Canis lupus familiaris: one gene and its partners. The protein of the gene in region 2 interacts with the protein of the main gene of each other region in a pairwise test. Links are inferred from orthologs where the notes say so. Each region holds a gene or a part of one and is shown on either strand. Other genes may lie near its edges. The genes, in order: DTX2, EIF4ENIF1, EIF4E2 and EIF4E.

The links.
Region 1: the proteins of EIF4ENIF1 (region 2) and DTX2 interact in binary tests that used the Homo sapiens proteins (3 or more experiments, as listed by UniProt). The two-hybrid records come from large-scale screens. The link is inferred for Canis lupus familiaris from reciprocal best matches to the Homo sapiens genes EIF4ENIF1 and DTX2.
Region 3: the proteins of EIF4ENIF1 (region 2) and EIF4E2 interact in binary tests that used the Homo sapiens proteins (3 or more experiments, as listed by UniProt). The two-hybrid records come from large-scale screens. The link is inferred for Canis lupus familiaris from reciprocal best matches to the Homo sapiens genes EIF4ENIF1 and EIF4E2.
Region 4: the proteins of EIF4ENIF1 (region 2) and EIF4E interact in binary tests that used the Homo sapiens proteins (3 or more experiments, as listed by UniProt). The link is inferred for Canis lupus familiaris from reciprocal best matches to the Homo sapiens genes EIF4ENIF1 and EIF4E.

The regions. Positions count from the first base shown.
Region 1 is NC_049227.1:7,536,358-7,543,849, reverse strand, and holds part of DTX2 (probable E3 ubiquitin-protein ligase DTX2), read right to left. Parts: exon of another isoform or gene 7,414-7,492; coding exon of another isoform or gene 6,940-7,413; intron 5,948-6,939; coding exon 5,311-5,947; intron 1-5,310. Other genes in the region: 40S ribosomal protein S23-like, read left to right, coding at 6,940-7,413. UniProt on the Homo sapiens protein: Regulator of Notch signaling, a signaling pathway involved in cell-cell communications that regulates a broad spectrum of cell-fate determinations.
Region 2 is NC_049247.1:24,786,924-24,794,415, forward strand, and holds part of EIF4ENIF1 (eukaryotic translation initiation factor 4E transporter), read right to left. Parts: intron 3,740-7,492; coding exon 3,453-3,739; intron 3,169-3,452; coding exon 2,967-3,168; intron 1-2,966. UniProt on the Homo sapiens protein: EIF4E-binding protein that regulates translation and stability of mRNAs in processing bodies (P-bodies). Plays a key role in P-bodies to coordinate the storage of translationally inactive mRNAs in the cytoplasm and prevent their degradation.
Region 3 is NC_049246.1:44,367,843-44,375,814, reverse strand, and holds the start of EIF4E2 (eukaryotic translation initiation factor 4E type 2), read right to left. Parts: upstream 6,195-7,972; 5' UTR 6,162-6,194; coding exon 6,142-6,161; intron 117-6,141; coding exon 2-116; intron 1-1. UniProt on the Homo sapiens protein: Recognizes and binds the 7-methylguanosine-containing mRNA cap during an early step in the initiation. Acts as a repressor of translation initiation.
Region 4 is NC_049253.1:18,831,759-18,839,250, forward strand, and holds part of EIF4E (eukaryotic translation initiation factor 4E), read left to right. Parts: intron 1-2,980; coding exon 2,981-3,087; intron 3,088-7,492. UniProt on the Homo sapiens protein: Acts in the cytoplasm to initiate and regulate protein synthesis and is required in the nucleus for export of a subset of mRNAs from the nucleus to the cytoplasm which promotes processes such as RNA capping, processing and splicing.

The DNA of each region.
Region 1 (7,492 bases), on a different chromosome or scaffold from region 2:
GATAGGAGGTGGAATCCTACAGGATCCTGGGACCGAACAGGAGCAGCACTGCACAAAGTGAAAATCAAGAAAAGTCCTTGGTTAACAGTAACATACTCATGATAGCAATTGTTTGACTTTACAAGATAAGGCAAGGAAGGGAGTTATGGAAACTCTCCATACTATTTTTCTAACTTTTCTATGTATCTAAAATTAGTTCAAAATAAAGAGATTAAAAAAAAATAAGGGTCTTGCTTGCCACAGTAACTATGCTTGCTTGCATCACTCCCTTAGTTTTAAGCCATTATATTTTTCAAGTAATAATAAAGCCTCTGCCACCATGGTTTGAGGGGAGCCCCACACTGGCAAACAATTGGTGTAGATGGCCCCAAGATGCCTGCTGACCCCCTGTGCTGCCCTGCCGCCCCCACTCACCTGCCACTGGGATTCCTGTATCTTCCAGTCCATCTCATCTCTGCCCATGCTAAAGATGGCAACACCAGAAGGGTTATGAAACCCTTCCAAATAGTTCCTACACTGGAGCTCCCCAAGGTCAGGGCCAGGTTGCATTCATCTGTTCCACTGGGCCTAGCCTGGAGCCCAGAAGATGCTCCGGAAATGATGGCCAGCTCCAATCTACAGTGCTACCCTTACAGCTGTCAGCAAACCAACAATGTGCCTGGTTCATGGCAAATGTTTCTGGAAGCAGCCTCAGATACTTCCCCTATCACCAGCGCCAGGGTAACAGATCCTGCTGGTGTAAACTACCTGGAGCTGGCCAGTTCTGATCCAAATCAGAATCTCACACTCAGCTGGTGCTGAAGCTTCTAGGGCCCCTGCATGGGGTTGGGAGCACGGCAGGTGTTCTAGTATTTGTCTGAATAGATATTTTGTTTTCATTTCTGGATTGTTCTCCCCCAAGAGAATCACCTGTGTGGCCACTCTATGCAGATCAGACTTCTTGCTGTCCTCAGCTACTCTCAAGCTCGAGAGAACAATGGACCTGGTTCTGGAGAGCTTTGATAATGTAATGGAAGAGCTGGGCATACAGGACACCTGGGCTAAGGTTTTGGCCCCTCTAAATTGTTCAATGTGGAACAACCAGCACACCCCTTCCTGAGCCTGTTTCTCCATTTTCATTTTTTAAAGGAAAGTAGATAATCTCTGATGGTCTTTGCAATTCTCAGGTTCTAGAAGTGAAGGACAGAGCCCTTTCAGGGATTCTTCATCTCCCAAGCCAGTTCTACAGAGGACACTGAACTTGAGCCCTCAGCCAGGAAGTCAGGAAGCTGAAGCTTGGCTCTACAATTCCCCCAAGTTAGTGGGCTACTCATCACTGGCTCAGAGAGGGTCCAAGAAGTGGGATCTTCCTTTGCTGGGAATAGGCATGTATGTGAGGGAGAAGGCCTCAGGTTCCACCCCCAAGAACTAGAGCAGAAAGCAGGCATTAAGGCTACCACTGGACACTCATTCTAGAACTGGGGCCAGGAACTGTGACTAAGTTCTATGGGTCTCACAGTGTTGCCACTTCCCCTATCATTCATCCCAGTAGCTACTCTGTAGGTATCCCTGCAGTGATAGGAGCAGGACAAGAACCCAGGAATTCCAAACATGGGGACTCTTGGGGTGGACAGGACCTCGGAGGTCACCAACTCCCCCTCCACCATCCTCAAAGGGCCCAGACGGGCAGAATGGTCCCCAGCATGGGCACTATTTACCCAACAGAGCACCCTTCTCTGACAATTCCTCCCAGTCACTGCCTCCAGCAACGCTCCTGACCTCCCCTCTTCCTGGTTCTACCTACTAGGCCCAACCTGGCTTTCCTGTCTGGGACTCTCTCCAGGAGCTTCCAAATGGAGCTCAGAACAGGAGACAGAAGGACTTCCAGTCTTCTATGAAGGCAGGATGTGGCAGTCCCAGGCAAGCACAAAAGCCTCCCACCCGCTCCCCACAGGCCAGCAAGCCAGCACTGACCAGCAAGCCCTGACAGCAGGTGCAGTACAAGGAGCGTTAGATGTGGGGTCTGGAGACCCCACTTCCAGCGCCACTCCACCTTAAACCTGCATGCCCTTGGCCAGGTTGAGTCCCCTTTCTGATCAATTTCTCTATGTGTAAGATGAGAGCAATTCCAAAAGGCCCCCAGGATGGTTGTGAGGCTCAATCTCCAGCCCAATACAAATGTTCACTGTTTCCCTGTTCTCAGAGGAGTCAAGGGGACACAGGAAAGCTGAAGGGCTGTCATGCATCTTCCTGCAAGGCCCCCCACGGAAATCCCAAAAACCACAAAATTAGAGCAAAGGGAAAATTCTGGCTTCCCGGCCCAACTCCTTAATCTCAAGAGGGGAGAGAATAGACATAGAAAGAGAACAGAGCTGACCCAAGGGCCTATAGCCAGTCAGAGGAAAGGTACCCCCCTTGGACCCGGGACTCCAAGCATGCAAGCCAGGTGGACTGCAGGAGGGAGTGTTTGCAGAGCCTGGGGGAAGAGCGGCAGCGAGAACACAGCAGATGGAAACAAACTGGGAAAGCCACATCCTAGGGCCACTTAGTGCAAGGGCAAGCCACCCCAAGGCTTAGCCACGCCAAAGCTACAACAGACAGCCGGTCATGATCACCACCTCAAGTCATCAAGATGTTAATTAAGCCACCACACCCTCTACTAAAGAAGACAAGGGTGTACATGACACATTTCGGAAGGTTTTCTATCCAACATCATTAAAACACAAGTCTTGGTGCTGAAAGGATAAAGTTCAGCGACCAGGAATTTTTTTTTTTTTAAGATTTTATTTATTCATTCATGAGAGACACAGAGAGGCAGAGAGGCAGAGACACTGGCAGAGGGAGAAGCTGGCTCCATGCAGGGAGCCCTATGCGGAACCTGATCCCGGGTCCCCAGGATCACACCTTGGGCTGAAGGTGGTGCTAAACCCCTGATCCACCCAGGCTGCCCAGGAAATTTTCTTAAACCCCGGCAGCTGAAGGCGACACTGCCTGCTCAGAAAGCCTCCCAGAGCACAGGGAAATCTGTCAGCCAAGGTTTTATCCGGATTGAGCAAGAGGCGATCTGAAACCACATGGTTTCCAAAATAAAAACCACACGTGTTCCACAAATTTTGATTTTGCTCCTCTGCCTGTTCTTTCCAGTGGCTACCAGTAAATAAGGCTGGTTCTCAGGCTTCCCTAGCCCATGGTGCCCCCAGCCCCGCTGCCCTCTGGGGAATGTCCACCTAATGCAATCAACATTTGTTCAGCTTGGAGAATCAAACCACAGCCCCTAGGGAGACAGAGTTGTCAAGTGTTTTCGACTGTCCTTGTTCGGCTGGGTCGAGAGGCCAGGTATTCATTAAGCCCCCTCCGTTCCATAAGAAACAGGTTAACTGAATGAGGGCCACCCGACAAATAAGACATTGAGAAACCCTGTTTTTCAAAACAGGGAGGGATATGGCCATGTGAGTGAACTGTGCCTCTCCCAGGTCCTGAAAAGCTGGAGGAGCTAGAGATGAACACCCACTTCAGGAGGCAGGCCCCTTTGAGGCGGTTTCAACTAACCTAGCCGGTTGGCCTGGTTCCCTTCTTGGCTTACAACCAAGGCAAGGAGGGCAAGCAGCAACACGCATGGCCAGCAGCACAGGTGAGGCCATGTGGCCCAGCCACCGTCCCTTCTGAAACTTGCCTGGCCTGTGCCAGGGGGGCTCACTTTGGCAGTCTCTCGGGCCCTCAGGCTGGGGAGGGAGGGATGCCAGAGAAATATCAGGGGAGACCAATGGGAGCCCCGTGCCAGAAGAAAGCAACAAAGCCTATTAAGTCACCTGGCTCAATCCCAGAATCCCAGCTATAGAACTATCTAGAAATGTGCCCCAAAATAATTTGTAAGAACTTAAGAAGCCCCAGGAGGCTCAGCAAAACCAACCTAGTAGAAGCAGCTCTAGCCCTGCTGATAACCACTCCGGGCTGGCAGAGAGCATACTTTTCTCTGAAGGATTCTGACCCACATATCAGAGAGGGCCTCACGGAACACTGGGTGGGGCTGACATAACACAGAGCCCTGCTTGCTAATGCCTAAGTGAAAATCCAGGGAGATGGCCAAGTGAAAGCTCCCATTCCCAGAAAGACCTCAGTTCACACACCCCCAGTCCCTAAAGGAGAAGATGCCCCTCCCATCTACGGATACCTCCACGCTATCCTTCAGGAAGTCTCGGTCTTCCCCCTCACTCCACCTGTAAGAGAGCTTCAAGATCTCCCCATGGGTCCCTCACAGCCTGCTCTGGGGCCTGGGTTTAATCCCAGCCATGCCACTTGCTGGCTGTCCTGCCAACCTCCATGTGCTCACCCGGCAGCTGAGGACACCATCTACCAGATGGCCATGAAGAGGATTACTGAACTCATCCACAACCTAGCTATGTGCACTTGGTGAAGGGCAGTCATCACTGTCTTACAGTTGCCAGCAAGGGCCTCTGAAACCCACCTTTAAAAAAATGCTAGAGGCTGATGTCAGCCTAGCCCAACGGGATGCTGCCCCCATGGGGGGTGGGGGAGCCACGGGTCCGCTAGGGGCCCACAAGTCACTCTCTTGGGAACCAGCCCCCATCCGGGCTGCCATTCAGAACTCTCTGGCTGTCCCCCAAGTCCAGCACATTCAATAATGCTCCCCGAGGAGCCACTCTTCAGTGACAGGTCTCCAGGAACCACCTGGAACAACCACCCCCCCACTGGCCACTCCAGGGCTCTCCCAACTTTTCGGTGGCCTCTGGTCCAGGTGGAGTCCAGGCTCATTTCCCCATCCTCCCCCAGGTGCAGAGAGCTCTACAAGACACTGGGCCGATTGTGCCACCGTGGAAGCCATCCTGCTACCTGTTGCCACCTGCCACATACTCAGCATCTTGCTCTCTCAACTGTTAAGCACCAAAGCTGGGCTCACAGCCTTCCCCTGGATGAGTGGGAGGGGACTGAACCTTCCACACCTGTGTCTTCGGTGCCTGGCACAGAGGAGTTGTCTATGAGATGTCCTCAGGTACATGGCAGAGCTATGTGGCACACAGGTATAGCTAAAAGGCCTTTATATGCTTTACAGAGAGCCTCTCAGGAGTGAAGGCAACTATCAGCACTCAGGTACCAGAGATCACCTAGACTCCATGAACCCAGACTGAGGAAGGCCAGCATGCAGGCGCCAGGTGGCACATGCAAAGGAGACGACACAGCATGGACGTCCACGGAGGCAGGGCCCAGGCCTGCAGGTATTTGGGCCATCTTCCCAGCTAACTCAAAGCAGAAAGCCAAGCCTGCTGACATGGCGCACAGGTGGACAAAATGACCCTCAATAACAAGAGATACCTGGCTCCACTGGCAGTGGACAATCCTGGGGGCTGGTGCTGCAGTCCCAGGTGGGAGAGGCTGGAGCGGTAGAGGGGCTGGCTCCCCAGGGAGGGGGGCGCCCCACCCCAGGGGTTGGCGGTGTTCAGCCTGGGTGCAGACCTAGCCCCAGAGAGGGAGGGCTTGCTGTATGGAGCAAAGGCCTGGTGGGCCCCAAAGACAATGGCGGTCCTGTGGGGGGGCTGAGGGACAGGGTACGCAGGGAGGTTGGTCATGGAGTGGCGGTAGCGGCCTGACACCGGGCCAGTTCCACCACCACTGAGGCACTGATGGCAAGAGCAGGCAACTCCCGTGTGGCCTGGTGGAGCAATGATGGTGGTCACTGGGTACGGGGTTCCTGCTTGGCGCCGCACACTGCGGCAGAAGCTTGAAGTTTTGTTGGTCTGCGTGTGAGTGGCATAGTTGACGGTATAGTTGTACCCCAGGGGAGCCAAGTCCACAAGTTGGTTGCCCCTGGCCATCTGTTGCTCCAGGAAGTCACAGACACTGGCTTCATAAGCCGTCCAGGAACCGTCGTCACTCAGCCACTCCCAGACAATGCCCCGGCCGGGGGCCGACTGCTGGGGGAACAGGTGCCTGCGCACAGCCCGCATGGTGCCTGTTCGAAGAGGAGGAGGACACATGAATGGTGAATCTCCTAGCCCCCCAAAACAAAAAGAGTAAAAAATTTTTTTCTACAAACAAAATAAGCCAGCATGGTCACAGTATGAATAGACAAGAGTCATGCTGTTATTTGAACAAAAGGCTGGCACCAGTTATTCTTCCCAAATTTTGGGTAGAAAGGGCAGAAAACTCTCTCTAGGTAAAGAAACTGGGGGAGCGCGTGGTGGCTCAGTCAGTTGAGCATCTGTCTTTGGCGCAGGTCATGATCTCAGAGTCCTGGAATCAGTCTGGAGTTGGGCTCCCTGCTCAGTGGAGAGCCTGCTTCTTCCCTCTCCCTCTGCCCCAGCTCATGCTCACTCATATGCGCTCTCTCTCAAACGAAAGGGAGGGAGGGAGGGAGGGAGGGAGGGAGGAAGGAAGGAAGGAAGGAAAGAAGGAAGGAAACAAACAAACTTGGCCTAAAGGGATCTACATGGCAGATGGGGATCTGTGCTCCTTGGCAGGAGTGGGGGATGCTAGGAACTTAGGTCAAAGAACAGCTGTGGGGAATCCCTGGGTGGCTCAGCGGTTAAGTGCCTGCCTTCGGCCCAGGGCGTCATTCTGGAGTCCTGGGATCGAGTCCCACATCAGGCTCCCTGCATGGAGCCTGCCTCTCCCTCTGCCTGCCTGTCTCTCTCTCTCGCTCTCTCTCTCCCTCTGTGTGTGTGTGTCTCTCATGAATGAATAAATAAAATCTTTAAAAAAAAAAAAAAAGAACAGCTGTGGCTCAGACTCCAGGCTTTTTCTTTTCTTTTCTTTTAAGATTTTATTTATTCATGAGAGACACAGAGAGAGGCAGGCAGAGACAGAGGCAGAGGGAGAAGCAGGCTCCATGCAGGGAGGCTGATGTGAGACTCGATCCTGGAACTGTGGGATCTGAGCTGAAGGCAGATGCTCAACCACTGAGCCACCCAGGCGTCCCAAGGATTTTTCAAAATACTTCTAATGATGCCTCTTTTTTGCTCAGGGAAGTGTCTCTGTCCCACCAGGAAGCTCTGCAGCCATGGACAAGATCAGAAGTGGCATGATAAACAGTACAAGAAAGCCTATTTGGGCACAGCCCTGAAGACCAACCCTTTTGGAGGCATTTCCCATGCAAAAGGAATTGTGCTGGAAAAAGTAGGGGTTGAAGTCAAGCAGCCAAATTCTGCCATCAGGAAGTGTGCTGGGGTCCAGCTGATCAAGAATGGGAAAAAAAAAAAAAATCACTGCCTTTGTACTCTTTATGGTTGTTTGAATTTTATTGAGGAAAATTATGAGGTTCTGGTTGCTGGATTTGGTCACAAAGGTCATGCTGTGGATGACATTCCTGGAATTGGCATTAAGGTTGTCAAAGTAGACAATGCCTCTCTTTTGGTCTTATACGAAGGCAAGAAGGAAAGACGAAGATCCTCAGTTTTGATGGTGAAAACACAACAGTAAATTTTCATTTACCAAAAAAATATATTTCTAATGATGAAAAATAGGTAGCCTCACTTAAAAAAAAACAATAAACTGAAAA
Region 2 (7,492 bases):
AGCATAATACCCTCCATCCAGTTCCATCCACGTTGAAGCAAATGATGGGTAATTGTCATTTCTAATGGCTGAGTAAAGACTGACATTTAAACTAAAATGACTGCTTTGGTGGAGATAGTAGCCTCACTTTACAAAGAAACAGAGTCCTGGAAAAATGAACATTTCAATAGCCTGATCAATGCCCAGTGTGTATTCTTGTCCACTAGAACACTGTTTCTCCCTGACCCACTTTACCTGGCTGAAGCTGCCTGCCCACCTTAAACTGATGAGGAACATTTTGCTGCTGTTTTGGGTCCCAACTTAAGAATGAAAGGTGGAAATGAGGGTCTGTATTTGGCTCATACATTTGCAAAAGAAACTTTAATATATCTTCTATTCCTCTTATTTTGTGTTAATGTGGAACATCTCAACAGATAAATAGCTTTTGCAAGCTGTAGCAGTGTTCTATATGCAATTTTATGCCACTGTCAAGCTCTGGAAAGCAGATGGGGGCCTGTCAACTGAGAATGGGTCTAAGTGGGTAGGGATGTGTACTGGCAGACAAACACAACTGGCCATTTATGATAATACACTCAAAAGGTAGAGACCCAGGAAAGAGAACTAAGGGGAAGTTTTATCACGTTCAGAAGGCCCACATACTTTCATTAGAGAGAACACAATTTTTTTTTTTTTTTTTTTTAAGACCGAAAACATGCGAGCTGTGCAAGGAGGGGCAAAGGGAGAGAGAGAGAATCTTAAGCAGGCTCCATGCCCAACACAGGGCACGATTTCACAACCCTGAGATTATGACCTCAGCCAAAAATCAAGAGTCAGACACTTAACTGACTGAGCCACCTAGGCACTCCTAAAATGTTCTTTTCAATCAATGGAGGGTTTTAACCATATCTGACTTCTTTTTTTCCCTGGTTACATGTGTTAATGCATATTCAAATTGTTTTATTACCATTTATACATCACCTAGCACTGGGCCCCATGTAGAGTGAGTAGTTCATTACACATCGTTCTTAAAATCATACAGGAAAGGAATAGGTTTGCTTTGTTTACTGCTATACTCTCAGCACTAGGATGTACCTGCAGAGAATGGCTACATAAAAAAATTCCACAGAGGGGTGCTTGGGTAGTTCAGTAGGTTAAGCGTCTAACGCTTTGATTTCGGCTCAGGTCATGATCTTGGGGTTGTGAGATCAAGCCCTGAGTTGGGCTCCATGCTTGGCGGGGTGTCTACTTGAGATTCTCTGACTCTGCCCCTTGTCCTGGCCCCACTCGCTCTTAAAAAAAAAAAAAAAAAAATTCCATTGAAAGTTAGAATACAGATACAAAAATGGACTAAAAAGCACTCATCCCCCCCCCCTCCCTTTCATTCTTGTAGCCAAGATGAAATAATGGGATACTGGTTTATCCTAAATACACTTGCTAAAATAGCCTGTGGACCGTCTGCAATTAACTATTGGGGTGAGTGAGCTAGGGCCCCTGGATTTCACTTGAGACTCTGCCATGAAATCCATGTGACAGGGTCTTAGGTTGTCCCCTCTTTCCAGGTCTGTCTCTGTGTGTATAAGATAAGGAGGGGACATTATCACACCATTTGGCTCATCCACTTGTTGATATAATATGAATGGGTGAAATTTAGATTACACCTCAGTTGAGAAAAACATGTGCCTTCCCCTCACATACCCAGCAGCAGCCTTATCTTTATCATTATGTGAAAAGACCATGCTTGGCTGGTACTGCTTTAGCCTGAGAATGACACAAAGGCATGTCTCAAATGCTATTTAAGAGAAATATCTCGCAAGTTACCCATCACTCTTCTGCATCACCCCAGGGAACAATGTGTAACAGCATAAAGATAATGATGATGTCTATTGTGTCTTAAAGATACTTAAAAAAAAAAAGGGGGGGGGGCAAGTGATTTCTCTCTTTTCCCTAAATAAATTCCACTAGCTCACTTTCTGCTTAAATATATTTTAGCCTCATAATTTTAAGGTGGCACTGATTAAACACTTATATTAAAACAGTTTTCTACTTTTGTTGACTAGTATCGGCCAAAAGGTGTTTTCCAACTAAATCTGAAAGCTGAAGAGAACTAGAATTTACTCAAGAAGTGCCCACAAGAAACTAAGCTCTCATGTTCACATCTGAACTTTAATGCTAAAAGTAACCCTTGATATTATGAAGTAGGCACTATCTTCACCTTACAAAGAACCAAGCCCCCTATCAAGAGTTTTAGCAAAGATTATACATTTGGTAAGCAGAACTCCAATACTCAAACTCACGCTAGCCAGCCTGGCTCTTCACTACCACTTCTCAGGATCATCAGCCCAAGACTGGCCACCCTAAAGCCAGGCTACTGCCCTGAAAATGAGTAGTGGGCCCCCAGCTCTGTATCAGTCACCTCTCACATAGTAGCTCTGGCTTTTTCAGTTTGATAAGGAGATATCCCACCACATCTCATAGCTAACGGAGTCTAGAAGCCAAGTCACAAACAACACATGTAGGAAGTTCTAAAACCACGGTGAAGAAGGTGGGCTCTGAAGTACAAAAGGACTTGTTCAACTCCCAACTTGACTAATTACTTCCTCAGTGTCCACAGACAAGTCCCTCAAGCCTCTTGAGTCTCCATTCACTCAACCACAAAAGTACCTGCCTCACAGGGCTGTTAGAAGGATTATACAGCCAAAACACTTAGCACTGTGCCCAGTTCTCAATTAATGAGACTCCTTCACTATTTCTACCACTTTTCTGATCTCTAGGGAACCCTTTTGTGTACACAGTGCTCTTACAGGGCAACGTGAGACTTCTCTGTTTAGCACTGCAGGCAGAACAAGTTGAGGATGTAATACACACCTAGTAAATTCACCTGACACTTCCTAGCAATTGGTACAGTTATTCCTAAGTGCATAATTAAGACAATTAGAAGCACATCTCATATTAGAAGAGTAAGCTTCCCTCTCAAAGTTTTTGCTTACCTTCCTTCACGGAGGCCGTCCTTCGCCTTGTTCTCTTTCTCCCCTTGTGATCTTCTTCCAGTATCTTATCATCAAAGCCAGTCAGCTCAATGGTTTCAGATTGACTTGTGGGTCCAGCTGAGAACCATTCTGGTTCTTCTTCTGTGTAGGAATCATTTCTTCTTCGCTCACCAAAGACACGCTTACTATCCCCAAACTCCCTCTGGAAAAGTACACAATGCAAGATAAAAAAACAGGTTCTACTTAAGGCGTTTCAACCTGAGTCAAGGTCTTGATGTGTTAGGTAATGGTCAATTGATACTACGATTGATACTGCAGATACTATGCTGCAGACATGGAGCCCCTCCCTGCCCCCAGCACTCTGAGCCTCTTTATCTGGCTGAAGAATGGGCTGTGTTCATCTGGCATCTCAAAATAACCTGCTAGAAATGAAGTGCATATGAAGTCCCTAAGCACATGTGGGGTGAAAAGATCTAGAAGACAAACCCTGAATCGCTTGTCCTTATAGTCTCTCTCTCGGTCTCTGTCTCTCAAGTCCCGCAGCTCCTTATCACTAAGACGGTGATCCTTCTCAAAGGTCCGAGCAGAGATTATCCTCCCACTGCCAATCCTTCGTCCGCCAAGCAGGCGAAGCCCATCATTTTCTTTTTCCAACGGGCTTCCTGAGTGCCGGGAACTAACAGCAGCCGTCACGTGGCAGCCCCCTCCAAAGCTTCGTCTTTGTGGGCTGAGAACAACATCTAAGTCATCTTCTTTCACGCGCTCTCGTGGATCTGGAAAAACACCAGAAAGAGAAAGTTAAGCAAACCAGCAGGGTACTTTTCCTTTCTTGGTAGTATGTCCATGATTAGTGGTGATGAGGGTTTTGGAAGAGTCACCACTGAAACAGGTACAGAATAATGTGCATATTTAAGTAAGACTGAGTCTTTTGCTTTTTCTCTCTGGAGCAATAAATGTACTTCATAATAAATGATTTTCCATGATTGGTCTCCATAATCCCTTTATTTTTGACTAAGGCCTTATCTACATAATTACTAGAAAAATAATTTGCCAATTATAGTAGGTGTATTTGGAAAAAATAACTACCTAAAAAGCTGAAGTGTTTCTTCAAAAAATGGTATTTAACAGGTGGATATCCACATGCAAGAAAATGAACTTGAGGAGCCCCTGGGTGGCTCAGTGTTTGAGTGTCTGCCTTTGGCTCAGGTTGTGATCCTGGGGTCCTGGGATTGAGTCCCACACATCAGGCTCCCCACAAGGAGCCTGCTTACCCTCGCCTCTCTGTGTCTCTCATGAATAAATAAATAAAATCTTAAAAAAAAAAAGAAAATGAACTTGAATTGATACCTGGTACCACATACAAAATGCAAAATAGATCATAGATCTAAATGATATAAAACTTCTAGAAGAAAATAAAGGAGGAAATCTTTGTGACACTGGGTTAAGCAGAGTTTTCTTAGGCACAACACCATGACCACAATATATTAAATGAAAAAACTGGGCTTGATCAAAATTTAAAACTTCTTTAAAAAGCAAAATAAGATCTAAAGCAAAATAAAATCTAAAGCAAAATGAGATCTTTCAAGGATTTTATTTGACAGAGAGAGAGAGACAGAGAGAGAGAGACAGAGAGAGAGAGACAGAAACAGAGCAAGCGCGTGCACATGCACGCATAAGGAAGGAAAACAGTAGAGGGAGAAAGAGAAGCAGACTCTCTGCTGAGCAGGGAATGTCATGCAGGGCTCCATCCCTGTACCCTGAGATCATTCATGACCTGAGCCATAGGCAGATGCTTAAATTACTGAGCACCCAGGTGCCCCTGAAAGATACTCTTCTAAGAATGCAAAAACAAGCCATAGACTGGAAGAAAATATTTCAAAGTATATCTGATAAAGGAAGGACCTGTATCAGGTACATATAAAAACTCTTCAAAATTAAAACACAATCGGATTAAAAAATGGACAGGGACACTTGGTTGGCTCAATGGTTGAGCATCTGCATTTGGCTTAGGTTGTGATCCCGGAGTCATGGGATTGATCAAGCTCCCCATGGGAAGCCTGCTTCTCCCTTTGCTATGTCTCTGCCTTTCTGTGTCTCTCTTGAATAAATAAAATCTTTAAAAAAAAAAAAAAGTGGACAAATGCTTTGAACAGAGACTAGAGGATATATGGATGGCAAACAGGCATAAGAAAAGATACTCAACATTATTAGCCATTAGGGAAATGCAAATTAAACCATGATACTATTACACATCTAATAGATTGGCTAAAATCTCAGACTGATCATTCCAAGTGGTGACAAGGATGCAGAATGAGTGAACCTTCATACATTGTTCATACATTGCTGGTGGAAATGTAAAGTGGTATAACCATGTTGGAAAACAGCTTGGCAGTTTCTCAAAACGTTAAACATACATTTACTATAGGACTCGGCCATTCTACCCTTAGGTATTAACTCAAGAGAAAAGAAAGTATACACCCATATAGAGACTTATACATGAATGTTCATAGCAGTTTCGGTTAGTAGTCAAAAGCTAGAAACAGGGATCCCTGGGTGGCATAGCGGTTTAGCGCCTGCCTTTGGCCCAGGGCGCGATCCTGGAGACCCGGGATCGAGTCCCACGTCGGGCTCCCGGTGCATGGAGCCTGCTTCTCCCTCGGCCTGTGTCTCTGCCTCTCTCTCTCTCTGTGACTATCATAAGTAAATAAAAATTAAAAAAAAAAAAAAAAAAAAAACCTAGAAACAACCCAAATGTCCATTAACAGGATACATGGATAATCCGTGGCAAATTCATAAAACAGACTACTACTAGGCAATAAAAATGAACTATTTATACAACCAACATCATGACCAAATCTTAAAACTACTGAGTGAAAGAAGCCACCCAAAGGGTGCACACTGTAGGATTCCACTTATATTGAATTCTAGTAAATGTAAACTAATTTGTAGCGACAGAAGGCAAATCAATGCTTGCCTGCAGGCGAATGGGGGCGGGGGTGTGTGTGTGGGGGGAGTATGAGGAGGGATTCAGAGGTACCAGGGAACTTTTGGGGGTGATGGAAAAGCTTATTGCTTTGATCATGGTAATGGTTCCAGAGGTGTATGCATCTATCAAAACATCAAATGGTACACATTATGTGTAGTCTATTGTCAATTATACTTCAATAAAGATATGAGAAAATCAAACCTGTCACCACACAAAAATCTTTCCTAGAAAAACCAGAAAACTGAAGTCCAAGTGAGAAAATTCCTTCAAACTTTTCACCAGAAACAGTAACTAAAATGCTATGTACTTTTCCAGAATTTTCACACCATGTCTCCATGTTTTCCAAAAACAAGACACAGTATGGGCGAGTTCTTAATTTACAGCTGAACAACTTAATATTTCTACATATGGACATACCAAAGTCTACGTAACCCATTTCTACCCCTAGACATTGAGTTTGCTTACTAGTTTTCATCATTTAATAAAATCTCTGAGCACATCTTTAATGATTCTCCTAAAATAAATTCTCTGCTCGAGGGATATCACTGCACTAAGTGTACTGTAAGATTGTATAGAAGGATCTTCTATCTCAAACTAGAGTCACCCCTATCTTCTTTGCCCAGTCCCAAATTTGTTTTATAATGGGTTTTCCTCTTATCTCAAAAAAAGTTCTTGCAATAAGTTCCTTGACTAACTTCTATACTGCTAGTCCTCCACTTCACATTTTCTTTTTTTTTTTTTTTTTTTTTTTTAAGATTTTTACTTGACACAGAGAGAGGGAGACAGCACATATGGGCACACACAAGTTAAGTAGGCAGAGAAGCAGAGGGAGAGGGAGAAGCAGGCTCCCAGCTGGGCAGAGAGCCTGATGTGAGGCTCAATCCCAGGACCCTGGCATTATGACCTGAGCTGAAGGCAGACAACTGACTGAGCCACCGAAGCACCCCTCTTTTCTGGCTGAAATGGGAAAAAGTATGGAAAACCAAATTTGAGCCCAGTTTCAAACCATATCCAAACCATGTATTCAGACCATAATCCACTATTAAGAATTGTTATTTATTTATTTATTTTTAAAGATTTTTTATTTATTCATGAGAGGTAGAGAGAGAGAGAGAGGGAGGCAGAGACACGGGCAGAGGGAGAAGCAAGCTCCATTCAAGGAGCTCGATGTGGGACTCGATCCCGGGTCTCCAGGATCACGCCCTGGGCCAAAGGTGGAGGTAAACCGCTGAGTCACCAGGGCTGCCCAAGAATTGTTAGATTTATACCAGAGAACTAGTTTCACATATGAGACTAAGCATAACTGGATTTCTAGCACAGCCTTATGCTCACTACCATGCTCCCTTATCATATTCTTACTCTGTTTCTGCTATCAATGAGGGACAGCACTACTTTTAATTCCAAAGCATACAGTCTAATGCTATCTACTTGCCACTGCTCTATATAGGAAAGCTGATTTTTCTCTACGTAGCAGATTGATAAATCAGTTTCCTGATAATGACATTTTCTCTGTCATTTCTCTGATAAAACTCTCAGCGAA
Region 3 (7,972 bases), on a different chromosome or scaffold from region 2:
CCTTCCTCTTACTGCTGCCCTGACTTTTGTCTCGTTCCGTTTTTTCCTTCTCACCATCTTTCTGTGTGCTGTTTTCTTCATTCTGATCATGGTCCCCACTGTCATCATCTTTCAATCTGAATGGGAAGGCAAAACAATGTTAGCCCATGACTGAGCTGATATTTGCTTACCTAACAGAACCACCAGGTCAATGGAACTACATTATAATCAACCCCAAGTCACTCAAAATACAGGCAATGAGATGTACCTGAGATGAGGAAAGGGCAAGGAATGCAGAAAGGCAGTTAGGAGGAATTCCAAAAAAACCCCCAGTCTTCCAGTTTTCTAACAGGTAAAGAAGCAAAAGGCAAACAGTTTATTTTATTTTATTTTTTTTTAAGATTTTATTTATTTATTCATGAGAGAGAGGCAGAGACACAGGCAGAGGGAGAAGCAGGCTCCACGCAGGGAGCCCGATGTGGGACTTGATCCTGGGCCTCCAGGACCACGCCCTGGGCCAAAGGCAGGCACCAAACCTCTGAGCCACCCAGGGATCCCCAGCAAACAGTTTAAGGGACGGTTTTCTTTGCCAAAAATAACGAGTCAATAATGAGAAGAGTTTCTGGATTGTATAACTGCTCTGGCATTTCAAATGAAGTTTAAAAATTTACCTATCTCTCTCAACTCTTCTAACCATCTCTCCTATCCTTCCCCATTGCCACTGCTTTAGCTCAGGCCCTCTTCTTTGTCCTCTGTTATTGCAATAAATTCCTAAATGGTCTCCCTGACACAAATCCTCTCCACCCTCTATCCATCCTCCACATAGCCACGAGCATCTTTCTAAATGTAAATATGAGGGCACCTGGGTGGTGCAGTAGGTTAAGTATCTGACTCTTGGTTTCAGCTCAAGTAGTTGATCTCAGGGTCCTGATTTTAAGGTTGTGAGGTCCAGCCCTGCATTGGACTCCATGCTCAGCAGAGTCTGCTTGAGATTCTCTCTTCCTCTTGCCCTCCCCACTGCCTCGCACACACTAAAATAAATTTGAAAAATCTTTAATTAATAAATTCAATCTAGTCATTTAACTTCCATGCCTAAAACCATTAACCGTCCCCTGTCTTTGGATGACCACCCTGCAGGATAAAATACAATGAAATTTAAGATCCTCTAGAATCTGACTCCTGCCTACTGAAATCTTCTTTCCCTCCCCATCTCCCAAAGCAACCTATAGTCCCACAGCTGTGCTATCTGCAAACACTACCTCTAAGCCCAAGGTGACATTCTTCCCATGTCTGTTTTTACTATTAAGTGGAGGGATCTCTTAGAACAGTCTAATATAAATCTTTGTGCCTTCAGCACCAAGGACAAGAAGATGCCGCCCTAACGTGTAGCACAAGATGTTGAATCAATGTTTAGTGAAAAGAAAAAGAAATGACTGAAAGAAGGAATGAATGTCTTTTCGCCTGGTAAGATTGGTCAAATGCACAGTAGGTGCTACCCTCCTAGAAGCAGTGAAAGTATCCTAAGGCTTTCAGGTAACATATAAAGCTCACTGGATTTAGACAGAAAGATAAGCAGGTGATGACTTCACAAATACATAAGAATGCCATTTAGTTTAGAGCTGGACCATTAGCTTATCATGGATCTTCTCCAAAATTACCTCTGGCCCTAAGGACTATCTAGTCAAACAGAATTAGGTAATTCTCAAGAAAGGTACTAGAAATACTCAAATGATAACATACACATTATCTTACATACCTACAGAAACACGTTGCAAAGCATTTTGCATTTCTTTTGTCCATAAATTTCCCATGCCACACACATAAAAAGCACTCAATAAATATTAGAATGCACAAACTAGCCATGTATTGAGGTACCTCCTCTGCCCATTTCACAGCTCTACCTGTAGGATACATTCAGGTGCATCATGCCCCAAGTGACCCTATCCCCTACCTTCCTGCTCACAACAGGACTATGAAGGGCACCTGAACTAAGGGCAGTCCATCCTGGCCAATAACTGGTGCCTTGTGGTCTTGCTCAAATTATGACTACATTTCTTCCTTGGCCTTTCATTCAGGAGATGAAAGATCAGAGATTCAAGAGCTGGGGCAATCATATGGGTCCCATATGAAAAAAGCCATAATGGAAAAAGTGAACAAGAGAAAAGAAAGCCAGGAGGGAGAAAGGGAATGGAGCAGAGAAAGCAGAGAGAAAAGGGGCTTTGTCTATGATGCTGCGACCTCACTGACTCGGTAAGACCTAGGAGACTTCTGGGAGAATGTTATCTGCATTTATGATACTCCTTTCCCCTTATTAAACTCAAGTTGGTTTGATGTACTTTCCTAAAGGAGCCTGTATAGCACCAAGTCCCATATTTACCAAGCCACTTACTGTATCAGATGCTACTGCCTGTCCCCAAGCACCTGACTGAGGAGATAAGGTATACATACTCAGGCCTCAGCTTGGTTACAAAGGTCCTGCTCTGTGTGTATGTGCCAGTATCACCTCCTGCTTGGTCCCAACAAACACCTCCACTCTCATGTTATCAACTTACTTGCAGCTTCTTGATCTCTCCTCCCTCTGTTATGCTCATCGTCTGGTCTCTCGTTGGAGAGCCTCTCTTCCCCTACTTAAATTGTCCTCTAGGACTCAGGATAAGGGCCACTTTCTCTTAGAAGCATTTCCTAATCTCTCCCTAGGCTGGATCAGGTTCCCCTCTTCTGAACCTCATCATATCAGTGTTTGTACTTGTCTCAGCTATAAGGTTATGCCTAATTTATCAGCTCCCAAACAAATGGTTTTTTATACTGAATAGGCCCAAGACAGCCCTCGTTCTCTTCTTTAGGGCATATCTCAGGACTCAAACCATTTCCCTCTCTTCTTACCTCCCAGCCTCCACGATAGTCTTCTGGGGTCCCTTCCCTTTACATCTTGAAGAAAGGCAGTCATCCCACATCTCTCATTTTACTAGCACTAAGAAAAGCACATGTTCCTTTCTTTGCTGCTATTCATGATTAGGAAACAGAAAAATAGCAAAAATAATTATATCTGAGAAGAGAGTGCTACTGTGGTTCCTGGACCACACTTCCTGACTCCCTTCAGAGATGATAAAAGGAAATTCTAATGTGTTATTTCTTGAGGGTGGAGCTAACCCTGCCCTCTAAGCCTATACTTAAAGCAAATCACTTGCATCCTGTCTTCCAGAGGCTACTCTTCCAGCTTGAAGCTGGATTTGAGCCAAGATACAATCAGGACTAAAAATCAGTGCTCCAGACTCAGGAGGGCAATTAGCATCTCTAAGGCTATCCAGACTGAGTGGCTCCAAGTCAACTCACCAAACCTCTGCCCAGGTTTATCCTCACACTGCTCTCTAAGTAGACCAATTCCTTGTGGATAGGAACTTAGATTAATTCATCTTTACATGCCCAGCATGAGACCGAGGCAGACAACAAACATGTTTAATGAATGCACTTCTAAAATCAAAGCAATACAAGGCAGAATAGGATGGGAGCCAACAGGTGGTTCGGCCAATATTGTAAGAAAGGGCCAAAAACTAGCAAAGAGAGAACAGTAACAAAATCAAGTATGGCATCTAGATCTGAAAACTAAGGTAATCACAGTCTGGGACTGCAGAATAGTGAAATCATCCTAAGGTTTCACACATCAACAGGGTCAATGACAGTGGTAGCTAACTGACTGGATAGATGTAGGGGGTGGGGTGCAATTATAATCCTAGATTACACTCTCAGAAATCGAGCCCATGCAGGAGGTTAGAGCTCTTCTTTAAACTGGGCTGATCAGATTAGACTACAGTACCCAGCTCTAGGCACTGGACTTTTAGGATACTGGCAAACTGGAACCAGTCCTTAGGAACCACGTGGTAAAGAGTACAGAAGCCAAACAACTAAAACGTCTAAAAACTGCAGACTTTTGGGGAACCTGGCTGGCTCAGTCAGAGGAACTCTTGTTCTCAGGGTTGTGGGTTCGAGTCCCATGCTGAGTGTAGAGATTATTTAAATAAACAAACTTAAAAAAAAAAACCCTACAAACTTGTTACATGAAAAATAAAAACTAGGGGCAGGAGTGTGGTCTCTAATTGCTAATTTCAAATAAATGAGAGCTTTGTTGTTGTTTTTTTAACTGCATACCTAGGAGATGTTAAAAAATTCTGGGTCATTATAAGGCATAGTTAATAATTATAACGAATTAAAAATGACCCAGGTTAATTTTTGTCAAGAGTTACTTGAACCAAGGTTAAACAAACCGGGGTTTGAATCCTGCTACGTGCACCTTCCTGTTTTCGTGTGCAAGTTACTTAACCTCAGAGGGCCTCATTTTCCTATCTATAAAAGGAGGTAACATGATCCCCTTAGCAGAATTGTTAGCAGTAGAAATAACATATGAAAAGTATCTACCAAGATTCCTATGAAACCTGTTACTATCATTCTTTTTTTTTTTTAATTTTTTATTTATTTATGATAGTCACACAGAGAGAAAGAGAGGCAGAGACACAGGCAGAGGGAGAAGCAGGCTCCATGCACCAGGAGCCCGACGTGGGATTCGATCCCGGGTCTCCAGGATCGCGCCCTGGGCCAAAGGCAGGCGCCAAACCGCTGCGCCACCCAGGGATCCCCTGTTACTATCATTCTTAAATTAGCTTACCGCAGATCCCCAAATGATATGGGCAAGACTCGGCTTAGCTGACCCATAAAGTGCCTTCCTAAGATGCAATGTTGATCTGTTCAATTCAGTGGAGGAAGAGGTATAGCATTTACAGAAAGCTCTACTGAGGGAGGACTTAGATCTGGAATTTGGTGTTGCAAAGATTTAAGATATAAGGGGTGCAAATGGCGGGGGGGGGGGTGGTGGGAAGTGTGGCTGTTCCTATTGAGATGGGCTCAGCTAAGCAGCAGGCTGGGGGAACGTTGAGCCAAAGACTTTTTCCAAGTCCCAGAGACTTCTCAGCAACCAGGAACACATTCCAGAGGAGCTGCCTAGAGCGCTGAAATCCAGGACTCCCGAAAGTGCAAACCAGCACTCATTGTACTGGGGGGCGGGGGGGGGGGGGGCACACAAAAAAACTCCAAAAAAAAAACAATTTCCCATCAGCAGCAGGTCACAACCTAAACAGTGATGCCACTTTACATTCCTCCCTATTAGCAATTTACAAAGTCCCTTTAAGCACTTGCTGAACGCGATTTGATCCTCACACACCAGGGCAGCAGCAGGGCCCCAACCGCTAACGTGCTTTACGTTAACAATGGGTGGGTGACTCTTCCACGGGCATAGAAGCGGTAAACTGGTGGGTCTGGACCTGGGAATCTAGGTCCCTAGAGATCAACTATGCTTACTAGAAGCACATAACCTGCCTCAAGACACAATCGCTAGAGGGAAACGTGCAAAGAAATAATTCTGCATTTCCTTTTTTTTTTTTTTTTTTTTTGCGCCCCCAAACGATGCTGCTGGAACTGGGGAGGTGGAAACGGGGGCAATGACAGGGGGGTGCTCGGGGGACCAGAACAGGGGCAGCTCCTGCGGAGCGTGCTGGAGCGGGGAGGGTGGGGGGGAAGGGGGAGGAGAAAGGAAGCAGGAAGGAGCCTCGCGAAGGCCGGGAGCATTCCGTAACTGAGCCGCCTGCAGGCGCCAACGGCCACATTACCTCACTGCATCCTCACCACTCTCCGGCCCGGGCTGTCACCGTCCCCACTCTGCAGAGGAGAACCCGGACTCAGAGGGGCGAGGCGAGCTGCCCGGGCGGGAGAGCGTGTGCGTGGAGCCCCCGCCGGGTCCGGAGGCAGGGCGGCCGGGCTGCGCCAACACCCCAAAACCGCCGCCGTCGCCGCCGTCCCCGCCCCTCCGCGCCGCCGGCAACCCGCACCCACCGGGGCGGGGCGTCCAAAAATCTCCTTCCGGGCGGCGCGGCCACCCCTCCCGGGACCCCGCGCGTCGCCCTGGGGCCGTACCCCGCTCCGCACCCCTGCATGACGCCTCCCCCCCCAGCCCCCCTTCTCCCCCGCCGGCCGCCCGGGCCGCGAAGGCCCGCAGCCCAAGCCCAGGCCGCAGGACGGCGCCGGGGAGTTTCGCCGCTGCCAGCCCCCGTGGAGGCGGGCGCGGGGGGAACGGCTGGGGGAAGGGGCCCCGCGGGGCGGCCACGCGCCACTCACGCGTCGAACTTGTTGTTCATCCTCTCACCGCCGCCGTCGCCACTGCCTCACGGAGTGACTTCCGCTCCGCCGGGTTTCCCCCCCCCCGCCCCCCAGTTTAGGGCCCGGCCACTTCCGGCTGCGCGCGGCGCAGCGGAACGTCTGCGCGCTAGTCCGGTGCGGGGCGGGTATCCCGGGACGCCGGCCCCGGGCGGCTGCGCGGCGGCTGCGCGGAGGCTGCCTGGGTCCCCGCCGCACGTCCGAGGGGGCGCCCCGACTCCACACCCCCACCCCCCGGGGGGCGGCTGCACCGTCCTGGACTCGCTCCTCACCTGCCCGAGGCTGTTTCCTCCTGGGTCCCGGCCACGCCCCTTCGGGTCGCCGTGTGGCTAGAACCGGACCGCCGGTGTCCGGCGCCGGACGCAGCCGCCCGCGCGGAGTCTTCCGTCTTGCTGACCTGTGCGGGGGAGCGAAGGAGCTCATCGCGCCCCCCGAGGCGGTCGGAGATGTGGAGAGACCGACGCCAGGTGACACAGTTAGTGCGAAGCTCACCGGAACCCCAGATGGGCCCGCCAGGCTCGGAGCGAGCGCCTCCCGGATCCGAAGCCTCTGCTCCGGGGACACAGGGGCGGCGCGCACGGGAGTTAAGGACGCGAACCTGCTGCTGGTGGAGCCCCCAAGCCAGCACCCCTGTGCTTGGGGAAGGCGGTTATTACCAGCCCCCCCGCCCCCACGATGTCCCATTGTCAGGTCTTAGGCACATTTTTTTTAAAGACTTATTTATTTGTTCAGAGAGAGGGGGGCAGAGACACAGGCAGAGGGAGAAGCAGGCTCCACGCAGGGAGCCCGACGTGGGACTCGATCCCGGGTCTCCAGGATCACACCCGGGGCTGCAGGCGCACGCCACCGGGACTGCCCCTTATGCACATTTTTGATTCACTGTCACCCGCACCTTTGATCCTCTGATGGGGGTGGATAGGTAGGAAGCGGAAATCCGAACCCATATTTGCAGATGAAGAAACAGAGGCTCAGAGGGCACAAATGACCTGCTCGGGTTCTCTCCTCACCAACAGAACTCGGGCCCCAGCTGTATTCTCAAAGCCGGGCCTTGCCTCTCCCGCCAGGAAGACCTCAGCTGGGCATCTTGTTTTCTAAGTGGATCCAGAATCTCCTGCCGGAAGGGAAAGCCCAGCCCATCACCTCCCAGCCTCTCTGCCCAGCTCCTCCTTGTCTTAAGCATCCTTTGAGACCAGTGCAAATGCTCCGCCGCCCTTTGAGAAGAGAAGGAAGAGGGGTCTGTTTTCCAGGCCACCGAATCTTTCTTGGGAGTGTCTAAAATTGGGTTGGGAATTCTGCATTCCAAACTTTATTTAACCACCAGTGTTCTTTTTTTTTTTTTTTTTTTTAAGATTTTAAATATTTAGATTCAGCCCCAGTGGCGCAGCGGTTTGGCACTGCCTGCAGCCTGGGGTGTGATCCTGGAGACCTGGGATCGAGTCCCACGCCGGGCTCCCTGCGTGGAGCCTGCCTGTGTCTCTGCCTCTCTCTTTCTCTCTGTGTCTCTCATGAATAAGTAAATAAAATCTTAAAAAAGATTTTAAAATATTTATTCATGAGAGACACAGGCTCTCATGATGGCTGCCCTAGCCATCAGTGTTCTGGGAAGCCCCCTCTCTCACTTGGAGCCCCAATCTGCCCAAATGAAACGTGGGGAAATAGTGACCCTTGCTTGTCCCTGATGACATGAGTAACTCTTCTGTGATCAATGACCAAAAAAAAAAAAAATGCATATGAATGGAAAGGTCACTTGTGCAGCAGAGTCTTGGATGCTTATAGCACCCAGAAAGTAGAA
Region 4 (7,492 bases), on a different chromosome or scaffold from region 2:
TATTTGTATATTGCTTCTGTACCATTCTCTCTTCTTGTCCTTAGACTTTTATAACCATCTTCCACAGTGTTTCTTACCATCTATTTTTTTCTCTGTATTTATTTGAATATTTTCTGTTGACTGTCTTTGAGTTCACCTGTCTTTGAATTTGTTGTTAATCATTCAGTGAATTCTTTTTTTTTTTTTTAAGATTTTATTTATTCATGAGAAACACAGAGAGAGAGAGAGAGAGAGAGAGAGAGGAGAGAGGCAGAGACACAAGCAGAGGGAGTAGCAGGCTCCATGCAGGGAACCCGACGTGGGACTCGATCCTGGGTCTCCAGGATTGGGCCCTGGGCTGAAGGTGGCACTAAACCGCTGAGCCACCTGGGCTGCCCCATTCAGTGAATTCTCTAAAAAAAAAAAAAAAATTAATTTATTTGAGAGAGGGAGAGCATGAACAGAAGGGACCAGGGGGCGAGAGAATCTCTAGCAGACTCTGTGCTGAACATGAAGCCTCACGTGGGCCTCAATCTCATGACAGGAGATCGCAACCTGAGCTGAAACTGAGTGTCAGATGGTTTAACCAACTGTGCCACCCAGGTGCCTCATTCAGTGAACTCTTAATTTCAGGCATTATACTTGGCAGTTCCATAATGTCTTTTTTTTTTTTTAAGATTTGTTTTCTTTTCAAATACTCCCCATTTTTTTTAATCCTTTTTTCTGTCTTCATTTTACTATAGTAATCTTGGTTATTTTGTCTTTGCTGTTTTACCATAGTAATCATAATTATAAACTCCCATTACTTTGGTCGTGTCTGGATGTTTTTCTGTGAATAGGTTAATTTCTTGATCATTAGTGACTTAAAATTCTTTGTATGTCTAGTAATGTTTGTTTGGTAGGTAAATAACATTCATAGAGACAGAGGATTATGTTCTCTTCTTCTTTTTTTTTTTTTTTTTTTTTTTTTTAATTTATGATAGTCACAGAGAGAGAGAGGCAGAGACACAGGCAGAGGGAGAAGCAGGCTCCATGCACCGGGAGCCCGACGTGGGATGCGATCCCGGGTCTCCAGGATCGCGCCCCGGGCCAAAGGCAGGCGCCAAACCGCTGCGCCAGCCAGGGATCCCGATTATGTTCTCTTCTGAAGAATGTAGAGTTTGGTTCTTGGAGGCACTTAATTTATAGGTAGATTACCTTGATCCTGTCAATGATTGGTTTTAGGATTTGTTAGGCAGATATATTTCCCCTGATTCCTAGGGCATGGCCTTTCTAGGATTTCATCTGAAAGCTGAGGATTTTCACTCACCTACTGTGTCTGGATCTGAACCATTTTCCCTGTGGTATTCAGCCTCTGAAGTCTTGGCTCAGCTGTTCTCTTCTAGACTATCCAGAGTTGAACTCTGAACATCGCAGCTTAGGAACTAGCCTAGCCAAGGACCTCTGAGGGATTTTTATATAGAGTTTTGAGGTTCACACCTCTGGTAGTACCCTGTCGCCCTAGGCCCACTTAGTCCCTAACTTCCCTATTTTCTTGATCCTTTGAGACTGCCTCTGGAAACTGTCATTAATTTTAAGCTGGTGGGGTAAGGAATGGCATTTGGTAATTCTATGAAGTTGTAAATTGACTCTGATGGAAATATGCTGGTAAAAAATGTTTGGTGATTTTAAGACCTTGACTACTCTGTAAATTTTAGGGTCTTAATTGCTTTGTAAACATTTAAATTTACTACTTAAGAAATCAAGACAATAAGTTCCTATGGAGTATAGCACTTTGCTCATTGGCATTATAGTTGTGAGCAAAATCAAGACATAGCCTCTGCTGTGAGTGACTATTCATTGGCTAGTAGATATTAGTTCCTACATATGTCATGTTGTTAAGAAAAATCTATTTTGTAAAATGAATATTTACCAACTATCCACTAAGAGATCTTTTAGATCCTTCATCTCTGATTTACATAATCTTGTTAATGTGAGCATATATTGTTTTGCTGGTTCAATTTAAATTCAGTCCCCAGACTCTTGTTGCAGTGCCTTTTTTTGAAAAAAATCAGCTTTTGTTTTAGCTTCTGGTGCCTTTCTTTGGCGTTCAGTTTTGTTGACAGTAATTTATAATTGAGTGAAGAGCTACATGGAGCAATGTGGAGAACACAGATTATCCCCAAGCTCCTTTTTTCCCTGATTTTTTATTATTGTTTTTATTTTTTAAAGATTTTTATTGATTTAATCATGAGAGACAGAGAGAGAGAGAGAGGCAGAGACCCAGGCAGAGGGAGAAGCAGGCTCCATGCAGGGAGCCTGACATGGGACTCGATCCCAGGTCTCCAGGATCATGCCCTGGGCTGAAGGCAGGCACTCAACCGCTGAGCCACCCTGGCATCCGTTTCCCTGATTTTTTAGATGACTATATTAATTAGGTCTAATCTAGAAAAAGATTTAGGTTCAAGCCAACATTGAGCTTTTTTTGCCTCGGGCCAATTGAAAATAACAGAACTTTTAAGTTAACCAGATGTTACAATAGTATAACATGAAGGAAGGACCTGTGTAATATTGGTTTGATCAATTTATAAAGTTTTCTTTTGCCATTGTAATATAGTTCTTAAACTCACCAAATTTAAGCTATACTTCCCCAATCTCCAAACCATGCATAGTACGTTAATAGTATGTTAGGGAAGACTGGGAAGACTGCTGGTTATCTTAACTTTGTTGCATGGTGTCTAACAATCTTTCTGATACCAAAATGTGTAAGTGACAGAAACTGCATATAATATTGTTATTATATTTTTATTGAGAAATCTTCTGTTCCTAGTGAAGAAATGCTAGAATGGAGAGTCTGGTGCTTTTCTTAGTTCTAGCGGTTGGTCTGTGGTCTATTTTATGAAATGCTTTTATAATTCTCCTTAAAAGAAGAATATTGGCAGTATTGGTTCGAATTGCTTTAAAGTATTGTTATCATAGTTATGTTAAAAATTTTAAAATAATTTTTATTATTTTCCATTAGGAAACCACCCCTACTCCTAATCCCCCGCCTACAGAAGAAGAGAAAACAGAATCTAATCAGGAGGTTGCTAACCCAGAACACTATATTAAACATCCTTTACAGAACAGGTAAGCCTTCTGACACATATGTTCTTCTGACTTAGACAATGAAGTAAATGGTGAAATAGGACAGGTTTGGAGGAAACAGGGTGAGACTAGTTTTAGATATATTGGGTTGAGGATTCCATTTTCACTTGGATAACCTGTTTATAGCAGGCAGTTTTATGTGTGAGTCGAGCTCAGAAAAGAGCACTGGTTGAGACATTGGGTTTGAAATTCGTCAGTAATTGGTAGTAAGTGAAATTATAGTAGTAAATGAATCGTCTTTAAAGTGAACTTGACTCAAGACAGAGGCTTGGAATACCAACTTATAAGGGATTTTTTTGGAGGGATAATGCCTACGAAGGGTTTAGACACATAAACTATAAGTTGGGACAGAGTCGTGGTCAGGGAAACAAAGAAAATGTGGGGGTTTTTTGTTTTTGTTTTCTAAAGGTTTTATTTATTCTTGAGAGAGAGAGAGAGAGAGAGAGGCAGAGACATAGGCAGAGGGAGAAGCAGGCTTCCTGTGGGGAGCCTGATGTGGGACTCAACCCCGGGATCCCGGGATCACGACCTAAGCTGAAGACAGACACTCAACCATTGAGCCACCCAGGCATCCTGAAAATGGTTTGTTTTAAGGACAGGTGATTAATAGCATATGTTCCATAAAAAGATCAGATATTCATTGGATTAAACAATTTAAAAAGGCTCAAAATTGCCATTGGATTGAATGATAAAGTCCTAGCTAATGTAGGGGAAAGTTTAGTAGAATGTAGATGATGGAAAAAGATTGGAATAGCTTGTAGAGAGTGAATATAAATTATTATATAGAGCAAGAATAAACAACTTGAAGTTGGGCTGTAAAGGAGAAAAAGCTAGGGGATGTGGCATCTGCAGGTTAGTTGGTTTTTATTTAAGACAAGTTAGGCGAGGAAAAGAGAGATTAAGGTGAGTTAAGCTTCGGGGTACATAGCTGGTTCAATTGGTAAGAGCATGCGACTCTTGATCTCAGGGGTTATAATGTAAATTCAAGCTCCATGCTGTATGTAGCGCCTACTTTAAAAAAAAAAGATGAATTAAACTTCATAGTTACAGTAGTTGAATAGTAGTAGCTCATATAGTTTTCTCAACTCTACCTCACACCTTCCCAGTGTTTGTGTTTTTATGGTTTATATGATGAAAATTAATATAAATGCACTGAGAGCTGATTGTGGGGGAAGAAAAATGCAATGCAGAAATATTGTAAGAATCTGGAAGAAAGTAAATTAGAATGAATTTGAGGATATTTAAGTAATTCAGTTCCTTTCATTTCCCTACCCCAAGACTTTTTTTTACCCTATCTACTTTACAGATCCCATAGGCCTGTGTATGTTTCACAGACATCCCTTATTTTATTGCATTTTGCAGATACTGCATTTTTTACAAATTGAAGGTTTGTGGCAACCTTCATTGAGCAAAAGTATTGGTGCCATTTTTCCAACATTTGCTGTTTTGTGTCTCTGTGTCACATTTTGGCAATTCTTGGCAAAATCTCAAACTTTTTCATCATGTTTGTTAGAGTGATCTGTAATCAGTGATCTTTGATGTAACTGTTATATTTGTTTTGGGGCACTATGAACTGTGCTCATATAAAGTTACAAACTTAATAAATATTGTGTGTTCTAATTGCCTTACTCTCACTAGTTGTTCCCCGTCTCTCTCCCTCACCTTGGGTCTCCCTGTTCCTGAGACACAACAATACTGAAATTAGGCCAATTAATAACCCTACAGTGGCTTCTAAATATTCAAGTGAAAGGAGGAGTCCTACATGTCTCACTTTAAATAAAAAACTAGAAATGATTAAGCTTAGTGAGGAAGGCATGTTAAAAGCCGAGATGGGGCAAAAACTAAGCCTCTTGTACTAAACAGCCAAAAGTTCCTGAAGGAAATTAAAAGTACTACTCCAGTGAGCACATGAATAATAAGAAAGTGAAACAGCCTTATGCTGATATGGAGAAAGTTTGAGTTGTCTGGATAGAAGATCAAACCAACCACAACATTCCCTTAAGCCAAAACCTAAACCAGAAGAAGGACTTAATTAATTCTCCTCAATTCTCTGAAGGCTAAGAGAGGTGAGGAAGCTGCCAAAGAAAAGTTTAAAGTTAACATAGGTTTGGCTCATGAGGTTTAAGGAAAGAAATGGTCTCTGTAACATAAAAGTGCAAGGTGAAGCAATAAGTGGTTACAGCAAGTTACCCTGAAGATTTTGCTAATAAGTTCATTATGAAGATGGCTACACTAAACAACAGGTTTTCAATGTAGATGAAACAGCCTTCTAGTGAAGGAAGATGCCCATTTGGGTGGACTTTCATAGTGAGAGAGGAGTCAGTGCCTAAGTGTTTAGAGGACAGGCTGACTTTTTTTTTTTTTTTTTTTTTTTTTTTTAAGATTTTTGTTTATTTATTCATGAAAGACACACACACACACACACACACAGAGGCAGAGGGAGAAGCAGGCTCCATGCTAGGAGCCTGATGTGGGACTCGATCCCGGGTCTCCAGGATCACACCCCGGGCCAAAGGCAGGCACCAAACCGCTGAGCCACCCAGGGATCCCTAGGCTGACTTTTATGTTAGGGTCTAATATAATAGCTGGTGACTTTAGGTTGAAGCCAGTGTTTATTTACCATACTGAAAATCCTAGAGTCCTAAGGAATTATGCTCATCTGCTCTCCTATGCTTTATAAATGGAACAGTAAAGTCTGGATGACAGAACTTTGGTTTACAAAATGGTTTCCTGAATATTAATCCCACTGTTAAAACCTGCTCAGAACAAAAGGATGCCTTTCAAAATACACTGCTCATTGACAATATACTCGGTCACCCAAGAGTTCTGATGTACCAAATGCATGTTGTTTTCATGCCTGCTAATACAACATCTGTTTTTGCAGTTTATATACAACATTTGGAAAAGGAGTAATTTTGACTTTGAAGTCTTACTATTTAAGGAATACGTTTTGTAGGACTCTAGCTGCCATAGATAGAGATTATTCTGATTGATCTGGCCAAAGTACATTGAAAACCTTCTGGAGGGGCAGCCCCGGTGGCTCAGCAGTTTAGTGCCGCCTTCGACCTGGGGCATGATCCTGGAGACCTGGGATCAAGACCCTCATCAGACTCCCTGCGTGGAGCCTGCTTCTCCCTCTGCCTGTGTCTCTGCCTCTCTCTCTCTCTCTGTGTGTCTCCCATGAATAAATAAATAAAATCTAAAAATAAAAAAATAAAATAAAAAACCTGGAAAGGATTCACCATTCTAAGATGCCTTTACGAACATTTGTGATTCATGGGTAGAGGTCAGAATACTGACATGAAACAGGTGTTTGGAAGATTCCAGCTCTTCTGGATGAATTTTGAGGGCTTCAAGACTTTGGTGGAAGAAGTAACTGCAGATGTGGTAAAAATAGCAAAGAATAGAACTAGAAGTGGAGCCTGAAGACATGACTGAATTGCTGCAACTCATAAAACTTGAATGGGTGAGGAGTTGCTTGTTATGGATGAGCAAAGAAAATGGTTTCTTGAGATGGAACCTACTCCTTATGAAGATGCTGTGAAGATTGTTGAAATGACAACAAAGGATTTAGAACATTACACAAACTTAGTTGATAAAGCAGCAGCAGTTTGAGAGAATTTGAGAGAAATTTTGTGGATAAAATATCCAAGCAGCATTGTGTGCTACAGAGAAATCCTTTGTGAAAGGAAAAGTCGGTTAATAGAGCAAACTTCATTGTTTAACCACAGCCACCCCATGCTTCAGTAACCAACCCCTGATCAGCCAGCAGCCAGCATAATCAAAGCAGGACGTTCCACCAGCAAAAAGATTATGACCCACTAAAAGCTCAGATGATGGTTTTTAGTAATAAAGTATATTTAAATTAAGGTTATAGTAGTTTTTTAGACATCATCATCATCATCATCATCATCATAATAACAATAATGTTACTCTTACTAGACAAATATAGTGTAAACATAACTTCTCCGTGCAGTGGGAAACGAAAAACTTCAATAGTCTGACTTACATTATTGTGATAACTTGCTTTATTATGGTGATTTGCATTTGCATCTACAGTATCTCTGATGTATACCTATAGTGAAACTATAAATATCTAAAAAATACATTTCACTTTATGGCCTGAATATTTTTTTATCATTTCTTCATTATCATGGTAGATTTATCAAAATAAAAGTCCAAACATGTTTTATGTAGTTTTTTTCTTTTCTTCTTTTTTTAAAGATTTTACTTATTTATTCATGAGAAACACAGAAAGAGAGAGAGAGAGAGGCACAGAGACACAGGCAGAGCAGAGAGCAACAGGCTCCATGCAAGGAGCCTGATGTGGGACTTGATCCCAAGACCCTTATCTTAGTGGGTATATAGACTTTTGTTTCCTATTTAC